2 linked regions of the Oreochromis niloticus genome follow. The protein of the gene in region 1 purifies or fractionates together with the protein of each later gene. This does not show direct contact. Links are inferred from orthologs where the notes say so. Each region holds a gene or a part of one and is shown on either strand. Other genes may lie near its edges.

Region 1 (7,227 bases):
GTTCTCATGTGGCCACTTGGGAAACCTAATTCCCCACTCCTGACCAACAGTGTGGTCTAGCCCTTGATCTCAGAGATCTAAAAGAGAAAAAGGGAAGGGGAAACTGGAAAATAAGTGTTCTTTCCAAATTTTTCCAATCACCAAATGAAGCAACAGGTGACCTAACAAATTCCTGAGCCGACACAGGAAAAGCCCCAGCACATGATACTTCACCAAAGGTCTATACTGAACACAGAAAATAATAACCCAAGACCCATGAAAAGGTCAACATAAAAGCCACAAACCAAGTTACTATCACACATCAAACAAACATAGCAGTAGGCAATAGGAATCTGTTGCCACCACAGCGCAAACTGTCACATAAAGCGTGGTCCTAAACCGCAAAAGGGTTCACAAAGCAAAGTAAACACACAAATGTCCAAGTACAAATGGAGACCCACACCCACACACGATCACAAATAGCGTGGTCGATACCACAGAAAGTTATTTCATTCGCCTAGTGAGCAGCAGCCACAAGTGACCTACCAAAAGTGGGCCAATGCTAAAGGTCACAACAGAAAAAGACTCACTTCATCTTTAAATAGCAACTGATAAATGTTGAAGCACACTCTTGGAAGTTCATCGGATGCTGTAACAAAAATAAAATATACTATATATTTTTATTATGATCGTGGATTATGGTAATCCACTGCAAATACACAGCTTTCCTGCACTGAGCAGAAGACCATCAGTGGTCATATAAGACCAACAAAACCTGAACACCTCTGTTTTAGGTTATCAGGCAACAGCCAACCATCCTATCCAATGACGAAAACCTACTTTTTAATGATTTGGTTGAACTTTTCTTTTTTCAAGGTGGAAGGATTGTACAGCATGCATCTTTAATGGTTTTTTAAAAAACAAGAACTGGGTGCACAAGTTTGAATTGATTTTGATTTTCTTTAATCTACAGGCAAAAAATTATACATGGACTCACTTAAATCTTTTAATAACTGGTGCTGAAGGTTCTACAGTGATTTTAACTTGACTAGGCCAAGACCTCATTAGTGATCATACATGATTAATAACCGCTGACAGTTTCTCTTTACCAGCATAGATCATAGAAAGGATTTGTTTGTTGGCACTAATTGGATTGATCAATACTCAGAACAATGGGAAAGTCCAAGAAACTCAATGAAGATCTAAGAAGTAACAATGCAAGTTTTGAAGGTCTCTTGGAGCCATTTCTACCCAACTGCAAATTACTATCACTCTTAGATGAAAGGAAATTGGTTGAGATATTCAAGAACAACCCAGGAACCACCAAGCCTCAAGCCTGCCATGAACTGGAAACACCAGTTGGAACACCAGCATTTATGGAGTTTTACATCACCGTGGACTGAGAGGGTGCCAACCAAGAAAGAAGCCCCTGCTCCAAAATCAGAACCTTCAAGTCCGAGTGCAATTTGCAGCTGCCCACTTGGACGAGCCAAATACTTTGTGGAGAAAGGTTTAATGGCCAGATGAGACAAAGATTGAGCTATTTGGGCACACTGATAAGAGGAGGTTTGGAGAAGTAAAGGTGAGGCTTTCAAATCTAAGAATACTGTACCAACTGTCAAGTATGGTGGGGTAGCATCGTGCTCTGTGGCTGTTTTGCTGCCAGTGGTACTGGTACATTGCACAAAGTGGATGGAATAAAGAAAGAGGAGGACTATCTCCAAATCTACATCTTTCCCTCAAATCAAAAGCTAGATGGTTGAAACTTGGGTCTAAGTTTGGGACTACAGTCCCAAACACACATCAAAAATGGATTTTGAATGGATAAAGCAGGATAACATTAAGCTTCTGGAATGGTCTTGACAAAGCCCTGACTTCAACTCTATTGAAAATTTGTGGACTTTACTTAAAAGCCAGGTTTGTGCCGGGAAACCTGCCAATTTAGATAAACTCTGGCAATTCTGCTAAGAAGGGCAGTCGAATATCCAGCCAGAATTATGCCAGAAAGTTGTTGATGGCTGCTCAAAGCACCGAGGTGTAACTTACTAAGGGACATTTAAGTTGGCGTATATGTATGTATTTGAGCCTATATGTCTAATTGTTAACCTGTGTGGATTACAGAAAATCCAAAATAAATTCAAACTTATACTTTCAATTTGTGTTTTTTGAGTCATTGAAATGTATGCTGTACAATCATTCCACCCTGGAAAAGAACAGTTTAGAGAAAGTCCAAAATTGCCACAATATTCATGACGACAATGAATCTTTGTCAGTGCTGCACCCGGCTTGAGGAAGCTTTAAGCACTAACCTTGGAAAGAGGCACCAGACCACAGATATATTTAACTACTGACCTCTGAAGTGTTATCATGTAAGTGTTATGGGGGCATAACACTTACATGATTATTATAACTGTTGGTGCTTCATTTTCCATGGACTTACTGTTTCAGCATTGCAACAAGTACTTAACAAGGCCTCTTTTCATAGCGGAAACTCTGAAGTTTATATATTTCCATTTTACTGTACTACTTAACATGAATAGTGTTTAAGGTGTTTTGCCACCTGTTCACAAGGTGTCAACCGATGACTCTTTCAGGAAGTCCCAGACATTTTACTGTCACATGAGTTCTGAGACTTGCCAATCACATGAATGAAGGTGTGAATCATCAATAAGAAGGGGTGGTGTTGCTAGGATAAGACTGTAAAAGGACTTTAGAAGGCCATAGAGAACTGAAATGATTCAGGTCAGCATTCGTTTTTTTTATAGACAGAATCTTTTGTGGAATCAGTTAGTTTCCACCCTGACACTTCTTCCCACCTTCCTACAATTTTTACACACTTTACACCTCAATTCTTGCTATTGTAACAAGTGTCACATGACTGCCATGTGACATCAAACGACATCACGGCTTCACACCGCTCATGTCTCTTGGTGTGATTGACCCAGAAATACCTGGGACTCCCCACCGGCCAGTACAACTGATGAACACTCTTGGTCTTTAACTCGGTACTCCTACTGTCTAGACAGTAGTTTCATTTTGACCTGATAATGCTTAGTACACTCTTCTTGTAGTCCAACGATGAACCTAAATGGAGCACGGTTTTGATAATGTAGTAAGTGTGACCTATATATGCTAGTTACTGTGCATTTTGTTCAAAGTGTCTGAGAAAAAGGTTACACACGTAAACTTGGAACAGTTTCAGCTAAACGATTACACACACTGTAATCTATTGGTTGTATTTATTTATTTATTACCTCCACATAAATATCTAGGTTCTTGGGACCCGTATTAAGACTATACATCCAAAGCACACATTCATTGCTAAAAGCACATCAGTCCATCATTCTACAGTATGTATTACATCTGTATTTTATACAAAATTGCATAAATATAAAGCCAGCTACAAACTGCAACAACAAGTATAATGAATTAAATTGGAATCAGTGGTGTTCTTTGTCATCCAACTGTAATTACGTTTTTGTAGTGAACACTTTTTTTATGTAGCACTTAAAAAAGAGAAATACATAAGAAAAGTAAAGATCCGTTTATTCATGAGTATTCCCATTTTGCAGTACCAAGAGGTCACCATGAACTGGAGCTGCTTCCAGTACAGCTTGGGTAAATTCTTGATTTGCTACCGTAAGAGACATTGTGTCACTTCCCAAAATATCAGAACAAAAACCAAACAAACACACACAAAAAACGGGATGACAATGTTCAGTCATAGACCGCTGCATCCTAAAATCAACCATTAATACGGCACCGGTGTGGTCCTTACTGCGTAATTCTTTGAATGACAATGCATTGCGGTGCATTTAAAGCTGTGGGAAAAAATTAAAGCCTGACAAAAATGAGTGGCGCGCATGGGGAATTTGTTATGACACTCTACGAGTAAATGCCCTAATGTGACTTTTAGGGGACTGAATGTGTAAAAACCCGGTAAACTACCGCTGGGAAATTAGCGTTTTTCATTTAGTATAATCTGATATTCCTTTCAATATTATAGTTTATACTTTCTGTAGAAAAACCTACAGCAAGCAGCATTTGGTTTGTAGAAAATAAAGTTGACTAAAGCGTAAGCCATTCCATTTTTTTCCCTTCTAAACCAAAGCTATGCATCCTTATAATAATAGTGGCACTAATAACACCGGTAAACATTTTTTTTTTTTTTACATAACTTAATTTTTGTTCGCTCTAACTAGGAGTAGTAGATTTTCCGACGTAATTGAATGCAGCAATCGTCTCTCTTTTTTCAGCCTTTAAGAGACGTAGCTTAAACTTTTAGCTACATTTAAAATATGTGTTTCTTTGTTTACCAAGTTGTGCCAAGACGCTATAAAATGTTTTTTTTTCTACCTGTGGATATCTACAGTGAACCTTTTTGAACACAAGCATGGCTCCTTTTTGACGAAGCTCAAAAAACTCCGCGGGGAAGTTCCCTAGGAAATCCCCGAAGACGGTTCGGGGGATATTATTCTCTGATGAGCCCAATTTCAGACAGTTGACGACGTTGGTCTTTTTCTGAAGACACGGGGCTCGAGGCAGAGGCGTCAAATGCTGGATTTTTAAGAGACTGGTGCGTCTGTCAAAGTCTACAAAACCCGCAATGGATAACGTCAGTATAAACAACACGGATAACGACGTGCTCAGAGACAAAATGCGGAGTTACAGCGTGCTTAATACTCTGTATCATGAGACGCGGCAGGAAATAGACCTTCTGAACAGACAGATCAGTGTAAAGGACGGTGTTATTGCAGATTTAAAAGCCAGGCTGGGGAGACACGAGAGGCTCTACATGACGGTGGGAGATAAGGAGTCTGTGCTCATTAGTCCGTCCAACTCTTTGGTGGAGAGTTTACTCAATGAAATATGCAAACTAAAACAGAAGAAGAACGAAGGGGACTTGAAGGCAGCCCGACAAGCTGAGGTAAAAACATGCTGAAGATTGTACACAGTCGATGTTTCTCCCTACAGCTCTAATCAGTGATTTATAACCATATATAGATTTTTTTTTATATCAGTTTGTTACTCTGAACTGTAAGCTGCTGTCTACTGTGACGCGTTCATTTTACAGTCTCTACTGGAGAAGTGTTCAGGGAACAAAACATGGACCATATCTGACATATCAGTTGCAAGCTGTTGTTGCCATGCCATGCCATTAATCTGTCATCATTGTTCCTCAGGAGATTCAGAGGCTGAACACTCAGCTCAGGGAGAAAGAGCTGGAGCTGGAGACCATCAGATGTCAGCCGGACCACGAGAAGGACCAGGAGATCCAAAGGCTACGGGTAGCCTTGCAGGAGAGGGAGCGGGCCGAGGCCACCAGAAGTGTCCTCTGTACCTCCCTGGCCGAGGAGGCCGACCAGCTGCGCGGGCAGCTCGGTGCAACTGTTAAGGTGTGCCAGGAGCTGATGGCGAGACTGGAGAAAGACAAAAGGGGAGGAGGAGAAGTGGAAGATGTGGCCCTTACGCAAAAGAATACAGAGGTGTGTAAATGCTTTTAGAAGTCACCAGTTGCTTTTGTAATTTCTTTTTAAATAGCTTTATAATACAGCTATTATTTTTTCAACACTTCAGGAGGGTCCTGTTGTAACCTCTGTTTTCTAATCTTTTACAGATGCCAGAGTCCTCTGAGATGGGTAGTCTTAATGCCCAAATCCGTCAGCTTCAGGAGGAGAATCAACAGCTAAAGCAGCGTGTGGCATACGTGAGTCTCATTAGTGTTATCTGAAATCAGTCAGGAAAAAAAATAGACATGTGATCTAATTATGTCCTTAAGGAAACAGATTTCAATTACTTTTGCACACAATATTAACACTCCAGTGGTGGAATATAAAACATGGTGCATGATCAAAGGTGTGACGTTTTGTTTTTTTAATTTCCTTTTAGGTACAAAGCCTGAATACTCAGTGGCAGAAGTATGACTCCAGCAGGGAGGACTATATAAGAGGTTTATGTCAGAGGCTGAAGGACAGCACCGGGCAGGGCTTGATGCCTGCGATGGGCTCCACCAACACTGGATTGCTTCATCAGGAGATTTCCAGGCTCAATGGCTTACTGGAGGAGAAAATGAGGGAGTGTGCAAGGCTTGCTAGAGAAATAGATGACATCAGAAGACAAGACAAGGAGCAAATTCAGACACTTGAGCAACAGGTTGGTGCGATTTCATGCCTGGTGATTGGCTGAGTTCTGTTAAGCACGGTTATAGTGTCAAATAACTAAATGTGAAAGATAAATTTTTAAAAAAAAATCTTTTTTGCTTCCTAAGGTTCTTATCTACACCGATGACTTTAAGTCAGAGCGTGCAGACAGGGAGCGAGCGCAGGGCCAGATTGATGCCCTGAAGGAGCAGGTTTCTCAGCTAAAACAGCAGCTGCACAAACAGGTGAGACAACAGCCCTGCACTTAGGTGCACGAGTGCCTCGACAGAAGCACGGACTTCCTTTTACTTGTTACCACCGTCCAGTACGTGTAGCTTGTGCTGACAGTGTACGTGCCTCCCTGTCTTCAGCAGGGAGCTAGCAGAGAGAGCAGAGACGTGGTTCCCTTGTGTCACGTGCACATAGGACACAGGATCTCCTCAAAGCGAAGTAAGGACACGTCAGAGCCTCTGTTGAGGACCACTGCTGAGAGGCGGCAGCAGCAGCAGCAGCAGCACCAACAGCCTGCAGCTGCAGCAGCAACCCCAAACTCTGCCTGGAACGAACACCCAGGCATGTCAGAGTTGCAGTGCCCCCAATGCCTCGCCACGTTCAGCGACACAAAAGCTGCAGAGTACCTGAACCACTGCTTAGAGTGTGCCCGAGTGTAAATGGAAGAACACTGATTTGGAAATAACAGTCATTTCTTACTGACAGTAACTGAACACTGAAGACCAGCACTACACTGCAGAAAATACCCCGAGTGGAGATTCCAATTCTGAGAAGCTTGACTACAAATCAAACAACTGACTTACCTTTTTTTCTTTTTTTTTGTACATAGAGAAACAAATCTGTACAATTGGCGCATATATATATATATATATATATATATATATATATATATATATATATATATATATATATATATATATATATATATATATATATATATATATATATATATGCCAAAAGTTTTTATTTTTTTAGTTTTTTTTTTAGTTTTTATCCAATGTCAGGTTCTAAGAGTACTCCTGTGGCATTGCGGGAGATTATTGTGGTGGGGAAGAGGATTACTGATGCAATATATATGGAATATAATATACCTCAG
Region 2 (7,474 bases), on another chromosome or scaffold:
AGTGCAAGTAAGTGCAGCAGCAGCACGGACTTGCTGCCAGCTAAGATCAAAAAGTGGATGCTACATTTTAAAGTAAAGGTTACTATCAAAGTCTCAGTGAGTCAGATTTCTACTTCATGTTAGCAACTGTTGCTTCCTTTAGAGCATCAACAAAATCCCCTAATATGCAAGGTTTCATTAGACTGCCAAGGAATATAATGCACACTAGCAATATTTATTTGAATTGGATCATTTTTATGTTTTTTTAATTTGAAGAAAGGATGAAATCTTTGCAGACCCCTCTGTCTGCATGTTCATGGGTTTCAAAAAGCTGTTCAACTTTTGTGTTTCAAGATGGCAACATTGTAGGATGTATTCAAGACCTTTACCTCTGCAAAAAAAACAAAAAAAGTCCTGCATTGAAGAAGTTGCTCAATTAAAAGTAAGTAACCATCATGTTTGTAGAGGCTAAAAGTGTCAATCTGACATCTACTTTTTTAGTAAGTTATTGTTGCAGATGCATTTATTTGTCAGCAATATTTTACTGCTGTAGCCAATCAGGTTAGAGCTTACTGCACTGCATACTGCAAGTACTTTCATATCATTTTATTTTATCAATGCAAAATATTTGTGTCCTTAGATTTTTTGAAAAGCATTGTACATATCTAAATTATTATTATATTTATTGCTTTAATTGTTTTTAAAAGACCCCTCGTATGTTAATTATTTAAAGAAAATATTAACAATAAATGTAGCGAAGAAAAGTGTCAAAATAAATGAAAATATGGTACTGTGCAATAATCTTGAGTCCCCCTGAATTTTTATATTTTGCTTCCAAGGAAAGGCTAAACTTGTGTGTAATATTTTAAAAGCAGTCTTAAGCAATAGCTCTCCAGACTTTCTGCAGATCTTTCAAAGGTTTTTTGATTTGTTGTTGTTTTGTTTTTTTACTTTTTTCACTCATTTTCAGTCCAGTCCTTGTACCTGTCTATTTTAAGAAAAGAATATTTGGGGGGGTTGTTGTTTTTTTAAGCACTGACCTATGAATTATTCAACTATAGAGGGATGAAGCAGTGTTCTGTCTACACATAACAGACAACTTAACAAAGACCCCATTATAAAATGCATCTCCTGGAACTTTGCTACTAGCAGCCTGTCACAAAAACACATTTGTTCCTATTCTATATATTTAAAAAAAATGCTAACAATAACAAAGCTTGACAGACATAAAATTGTATTTTTGCACCAACAATGGGATTCCCAAAGAACTATTAGCCAAAAACTTGCCCCATCTCTGCATGGTGTGCAGCATGTCCTCAAAAAATGTAACTAAACTGAAAAACTATTCAGTTTTGAGAAGAATGTTATAAAAGTATGCACTACTGTGGAATCCTTTGACCTTTTCTTGACAGACATAAATCCTTCCAGACGTTATGAGGAAATGCGGACTGCATAAATAGCAGTACAGCGGTCAGGTGGTTTTATTAAAGTATCATCTGCTGGTCTAATATAGGTCATTTAATGAGGGAAAAGTTCAGCATTGATATGAGACAATAGTGGTGGCGGTGGTGACTAAAAGAGGATTGCTCATACTGGTGATTTGAAACAGCGGAGTGGGCCAGTTGTCCCTTCTGGGGTTTTCCATGTGCTGATGACTATGCTGCTTAGCTTTCACCACTTCCACAGCCGGCTAGTATTGATTATTGACTTCCAGCCAATGACTCAGCCAGCATGTGACTCAGTAAGGAACTTTTAAAAAGTTTGGAAACTGAAATCTTTAGCTTTATCTACAATAGCCCCCTCAGCAGCATTCAGTCAAAACAGACCAGAGTTAGATGGGTTTTTCTTAAGTGCCCACTTACTCAATCAAAGGCATTTTTGAGGTCAGTCAAAGTGACTTTATAGATGTTCATTTTGACAGCCGGTGCGTGCAAAGCATTACCTCAGGGGCAACGGCTTGAAACTTCGAAAGGTAAGACTGATTCACAGAGCTCATTCCTCGTGAATGCTGTCAGGTGTTTGTTTTTTTTAACAGTTTCTTTCCCCGAGTAGGTAGAAAACTGAAATGTAGTTTCTACTGTTGGGGCAGCTCAACACAGCAGTAGGAGTCTTTCCACAGGTAGGAGAAAGGAAATAGAAAGTGAGGACCAGCACAGGATAACAACAGCAAGATTAAGACGAACTATCTTCTTTCACAGCGGTAAAGTGGATATTTGTCCACAGTGGAAAAATATAGAATAAAGTTTTACCTCAGCTTCAGGGCTACTCTACATTTACGGGAATCCTGCCCTTATACCCTTATATAATAAACAATAAACATGTTTGTCAGGATGTCAAATTCTTGTTAACGCTACTTTCACTTACTGTGACTCTGGCTGGATTAATCCTCTTTTGAAATCTTTCTGGTCTTTCTAATGGTTGATTCAGCACTGAAAAGATGAGATTATAAATTATCTATCACTTAACTGAGAACAAATTTACAGACTGACATTAATTTGCGACAGTTCTGTCGTAACTGTGCTCTGCTTCTCGGCCCGTGACAGCTGGGATTTGGACCGAATACTCGTATTTGCACGTCGTGCAAAAAATACTATTTGTACTTGGTTATTTTTTCTGATTTATCTATTTTATGACACTGAAAATTAGGGGTGGGAATCACAGATTGGGTCATGGCACATTACTCTAATCTTAAGTGGCCCAGGACAGCGCCATACGCGACACAGTTTAAATGTGCATGTGAAAAAAAGTATATTTTATATTTGTGTCTCTGTGTGTGTGATCCATATTTTTAAACACAACAAAACAAAATCCCAAATATATTAATTGAATATAAGCAATTCTGATTTTATGCTTCAAAAGGAGTAGAGAGAAGTATAAACGTATACAATCCTACCGCTCCTTCCTGTCTAATGACTTAGTCAACTTCAGTTTTCCTTTAATTTATAAATGCAAGAAGTCAAGAAGACTTTAACTTAAACTGACAAGTTAATCAAAAATGAAATCAGGGGGTGTATGCATGTTTTAATAAAAAAAAAAAAAAAAAAAATTGGCCCCGGTGTGTTTTATAGTAAGTCGATGCAAAGCAATATGTCGCTCTTTAACTATTTGGTCCCAGTAGTACTGCAACTTGAATTTATGTTTTGTTTTTGATTGACTTAAGGAAATCAAACTATCTAAAAACTTTGCTTTTGTAACCTGAAGCATGCGGGCTTTTCCAACCTTTGTATTTCACCTCCTCCTGCTAAATGCTAAACTGAAACTTTATTTGTGTTGGAACACACCCATCACACAAAGGCTAAAAATATTTGTCTCTTTATGTCATCTAAATGTGTCACACCTCTTTTTCGCGTGCATTATGCTATCACATGCAACTCCAGCAAGTTGCATGTGTTAGCATAATGCATAATTTAAGCAAACGCTACACTTGGAAATAAAACATAAAGCTCTGACTACTTTTCCGTTGCAGCTTCTGAATGGTAGACCGCAGTAAAACAGTTAAGCATGCTCTGCCACATACTAGAAGCTCAGACAAGATAATAAAACTTGTCAACCACAACAAACCACAGGTGCACAAAAGACTTGTGACTTGACTGTTGTAATGATTTAGCCGCCTTGACAGCCACAGTCAGGTGGGTTGCTGGATGATGGAAGATGCACACTTTTCTTGGTACACTCGAGCAAAGATCATCTGTTGATGTTTAGTATTGAACTCACATGAAAATGAGAGGCACAATTTCACCAAGTGTCAGTTTACGTTTCCATTAGGTGGAGACATATGGAGGGAGGTTAAGAGGCTTCCTTTAAAAGGAAACCTATTTTTGTTTTGTGATTTCGGTGGGAAGAGCTAGAAACTTTTGCCAAAATAAAAGAAAACTTCACTTTACATAAACATTGAGCCAACTTACTAATGTAGTGAATGAACCAGCGGGTTAGCAAAGAGCTCACATCTGCTTCTTAAATATCTTTGAGCAAGACAGGAATCCGAAGGAACCTGAAAGTCTTTAATTATATTTAGATGATTTGCTAACAATTAAAGCACCATCGCATCATTGCTGCAATAGCTAGTCATCAGACCATGAATACACATACGTATCAGTGCATGCAGTCAGCAACTCAAATCCATTTTACAACCAGGTAATGAGATTCGTTTTCCTTACTCATTTGCTGATACTGAAGGTTAATGATTTATTTTTTTAAGGCTGTCTCATGAAATAGAGTATGACGCGAACTGCCTCCCTCCCTCAGTGACGCTCCTTTGTGCTCAGTAGGTGGGATATGCTTTTCAGTATCGAGTCAGACAGATAGTAAAGACTCCCCTGGTGGCAGTGAGCTGCAACTACAGCGGTTGTGTGTGTGAGTGTGTGTGTGAGTGAGTGAGTGAGTGAGTGAGAGAGAGAGAGAGAGAGAGGAAAATGGGTGGACGGAAAGTCCCCGTGTGGAAATCCCCTTTGACTTGGACTTTTTCCTTGTTTTAAAAAAACTATCATTATCGTACGTGTGTATTCTTTTGAAAGGCTTCGCAGGCTGCGAGGGCTCCAAAATAGATCTGATACTGAAAGAAAGAGAAGGTTGAATGGCGCCGAGGACCGCTGCGGTGAGGCTGAGTGAAGTGGCTGAGAGAGGACTAGCCTGAGCATCCGGGAGGCTTTGTTATTACCCCGACATATTACACAGGTAAGACGCCAGCCTTCCCTCCTTGTGCCTCCCCATGTGGACACACATTTCTTAGCAATTGGGTGAGACTTGGTGGGTAAGACCACGTTTGGGCCTTGAGTAATGTATGGTCGTGTTTCTGGGGACACGGAGGAAGCTTGAAGCCTGCTCACGACAGTGGCTTTGACAGCCATTGTTTACAAAGACGTCACCCTCGAGCGGATAGCAGGACATTTAAACAGCCAAATGTGGCATCGGCGAGGCTACACTGTATCGATACCCGCGCTGTTAGACGCGATTGAACGCTACATTGTTCCAAAGGTAGTTGTCATTGGAATTACGTAAGCCTTTAACGTCAGCAAAGTCTCCTGTTATTGTGTTTTTGTGTAGCCAGCCATCCTAAACCGCAGCGTCCACCCGGGTGCTGCTGTCTGTCTGCCTTAAAGTGTGCCCCGCTGTGACAGCACGCCACGCTAATGATTCGTGTCAACATGCTCCCTGACATCCAGGTGTCTGTTGTCTGGTCCCTCATGTGACTGACTAGCCCTTTAGCACGGCCTAGTCTGTTGTTGCACCTGCTGCTGTTTGGGTAGTAAAGGCACAGAGGCCACTAGAAGCTCGCTGTTCAGGTGTTTGTGGACTCGAACAGCATCTTCCGACCTGACTGGCAGCTTGCGAGAGGTTGATAGAAGGATGTTGTGGGAAGTTTAAAAGTCAGCAAAACTCCAGGCCCACTTGCTGACCATTACTTTCTACTTCCTCTAAACTGCTAATGCGTCTTCACTGTGTTGAAATGTGAGGGGAAGTAGTCCTTTAAAACCTTCCCTTTAGCAAACTTGACTCAAATAGAGTATTGGGTATAGAGGTTGTGCATTGAACCTCAGTACCTTTATACTTAAAGTATAAAAACTGCCAAAAGTTTCCCTAATTTTCCTAGCTTTCAAATTACTATAACAATTTGGGGAACGTAGCTGAATTAAAGTTGTATTTTATTTAGGGGAAATAATTCTGCAGCTGCTTTTGTTTTAAATGACTTCAGGGAGTGACGTAAACCCACGTTAGATTATCTTCCTCCTGTACTGAGAACAGTGTTTGTGTCTGTACTGAAAGCCTATAATTTTTCTAATGATTCCCAGCCTTTTAAACGGAGACTTTAAGCAGGCTGTTGAGGGAGGAGGCCTTGTGACCTTCCCATCAGCCTGGGAAGCCCTGGGTGGCCTTCAGTTAAGGTCTGGAAAGCACCCATTTATTGTTGGAAGTCTTTGAGCTCAGTGGGACACTAGGAAGCCCTGTTGAGGGAAACTCTCAAAAACCATCAAGACAAAAAGGAGAATTAAAAGAACAAACAAGAATACAAAGGGGTCTTTGTGTACTTTATTCAGTTGGGCCCAGCAGAATCTCCAGGAAAAAGCACCATACAGCCTCCACACTGGAATCATCCTTTGTGATGGGTAGTTTCCCAAACAAACTGTAAATTAAGTTGTGCCTTAAGTCTTAATTTGTAAGGAAGGGGACTCTCCACTGAAAATTTCCCACAAATCCCTGCTGTGAAATAACATGTCCTCTCCGCTTCTCTCCATCCAGTTTCCACGTTGATCCGGCATCGGTGGTTGGTGCCTCCTCCTCCTCTCCTCCTTGCTCCTCTTCCTCCCTTCCTTCCATTCACCTGGCCAGCCATCCGCCATGTCGCAGGGTCAGAACTTCCTCCCCAAATTCCTGTTTGTCTCCAACCTGCTCAAGGCAGTGAAGATCCGACAGCGAGTGCCTAACGATGTGGTGAAGCCTGCTGCCAGCGGTGGCCTCATGCACCACCTGCGGGGTATGCACCGGTACACGCTGGAGATGATCGCCATGAACCACTTCCCCCAGGCCTTCAGGGAGGTGGTTCAGGCCGCCATCCTGGACCGAGCCATGCAGGCCTCATTAGAGAAGGAGAAGAAGCTCAACTGGTGTGGGGAGCTGAAGAAGATGGTGCCCTTACGCACCAATGGTAAGAACGATTATGCTGATGTTGAGGAGCTGTACTGGAATATGGAGGCTACAGTAAACCAGATTTCTGTGGTGGTCTTATAAGTGGATGAAGCTCCACGAAGCTTTGTTGACGTTCAAGGATGTTTTATATTATTGGTTGTGTAGCAGAGGGCACCGTAAATAACTGCTGTTGGAGCAGTAGGTGACATTCAACACAAATAGAACAATTCAGCAGATTGGCCACAGAGCTAATGCTGAACCATTTCTCCTTGATTTTAGAAGCAAAACTTATTGCGCTCAACACAGGATGTGTTTTGCTTTTGTTTCATTTTCTATGAGAGAGATGGTGAGCTCTTATGAGTCAGGGCTATTTGATATGCAAATTCTGAGATGTCATTACTCACAGGCAGGGTTACTGTAAATGACAACAATCGAGGGACGCGAGTTCCGCTTTCACATAGACTCATTTAGCAGCCCCCTTGGTTTTACTGTGTCGACCTTAGTGTTTGACTTTAGGCACCCCAGTGCTAAGTCATGTTTTCTGTTACGTGAATGTTGTAAGACGGGAACATCCCAGGGCAGGCAAACATGTAAACTCGGGCCTGATTACTTCTGATCATAGTTGTGTACTGGGAAATTCTCTGGCGTCACATGCAGGACTGTTATTTACTGTCTGTGATGTTTCAGACCCAACTATTTCCACAGTTTTTCATTTACTGCATTTGGGGTATGCCCCCTCTTTTTCTGTGTAGGTGTGTGTTAGTGAATGTCAGTGGATGTTAAAAAAAACACACCGTTTTACCTTAAATTCCCCACCTGCCTGACTTTATGTGACTTTATGGATTTGTGTTTGTGATGATCTATTAGAGCT

What was found. The genes of interacting proteins can lie anywhere in the genome.
Region 2: the proteins of tnip2 (region 1) and tnfaip3 purify together in Homo sapiens (affinity purification with western blotting; 5 studies listed by BioGRID and IntAct, with this or other methods). This does not show direct contact. The link is inferred for Oreochromis niloticus from reciprocal best matches to the Homo sapiens genes TNIP2 and TNFAIP3.

Annotation. Positions count from the first base shown.
Region 1 is NC_031971.2:13,974,896-13,982,122, reverse strand, and holds tnip2 (TNFAIP3-interacting protein 2), read left to right. Parts: upstream 1-4,225; 5' UTR 4,226-4,585; coding exon 4,586-4,906; intron 4,907-5,162; coding exon 5,163-5,465; intron 5,466-5,596; coding exon 5,597-5,686; intron 5,687-5,868; coding exon 5,869-6,132; intron 6,133-6,247; coding exon 6,248-6,364; intron 6,365-6,490; coding exon 6,491-6,790; 3' UTR 6,791-6,948; downstream 6,949-7,227. UniProt on the Homo sapiens protein: Inhibits NF-kappa-B activation by blocking the interaction of RIPK1 with its downstream effector NEMO/IKBKG.
Region 2 is NC_031978.2:11,429,207-11,436,680, forward strand, and holds the start of tnfaip3 (tumor necrosis factor alpha-induced protein 3), read left to right. Parts: upstream 1-4,393; 5' UTR 4,394-4,653; intron 4,654-4,746; exon of another isoform or gene 4,747-4,953; intron 4,954-6,216; 5' UTR 6,217-6,315; coding exon 6,316-6,622; intron 6,623-7,474. UniProt on the Homo sapiens protein: Ubiquitin-editing enzyme that contains both ubiquitin ligase and deubiquitinase activities.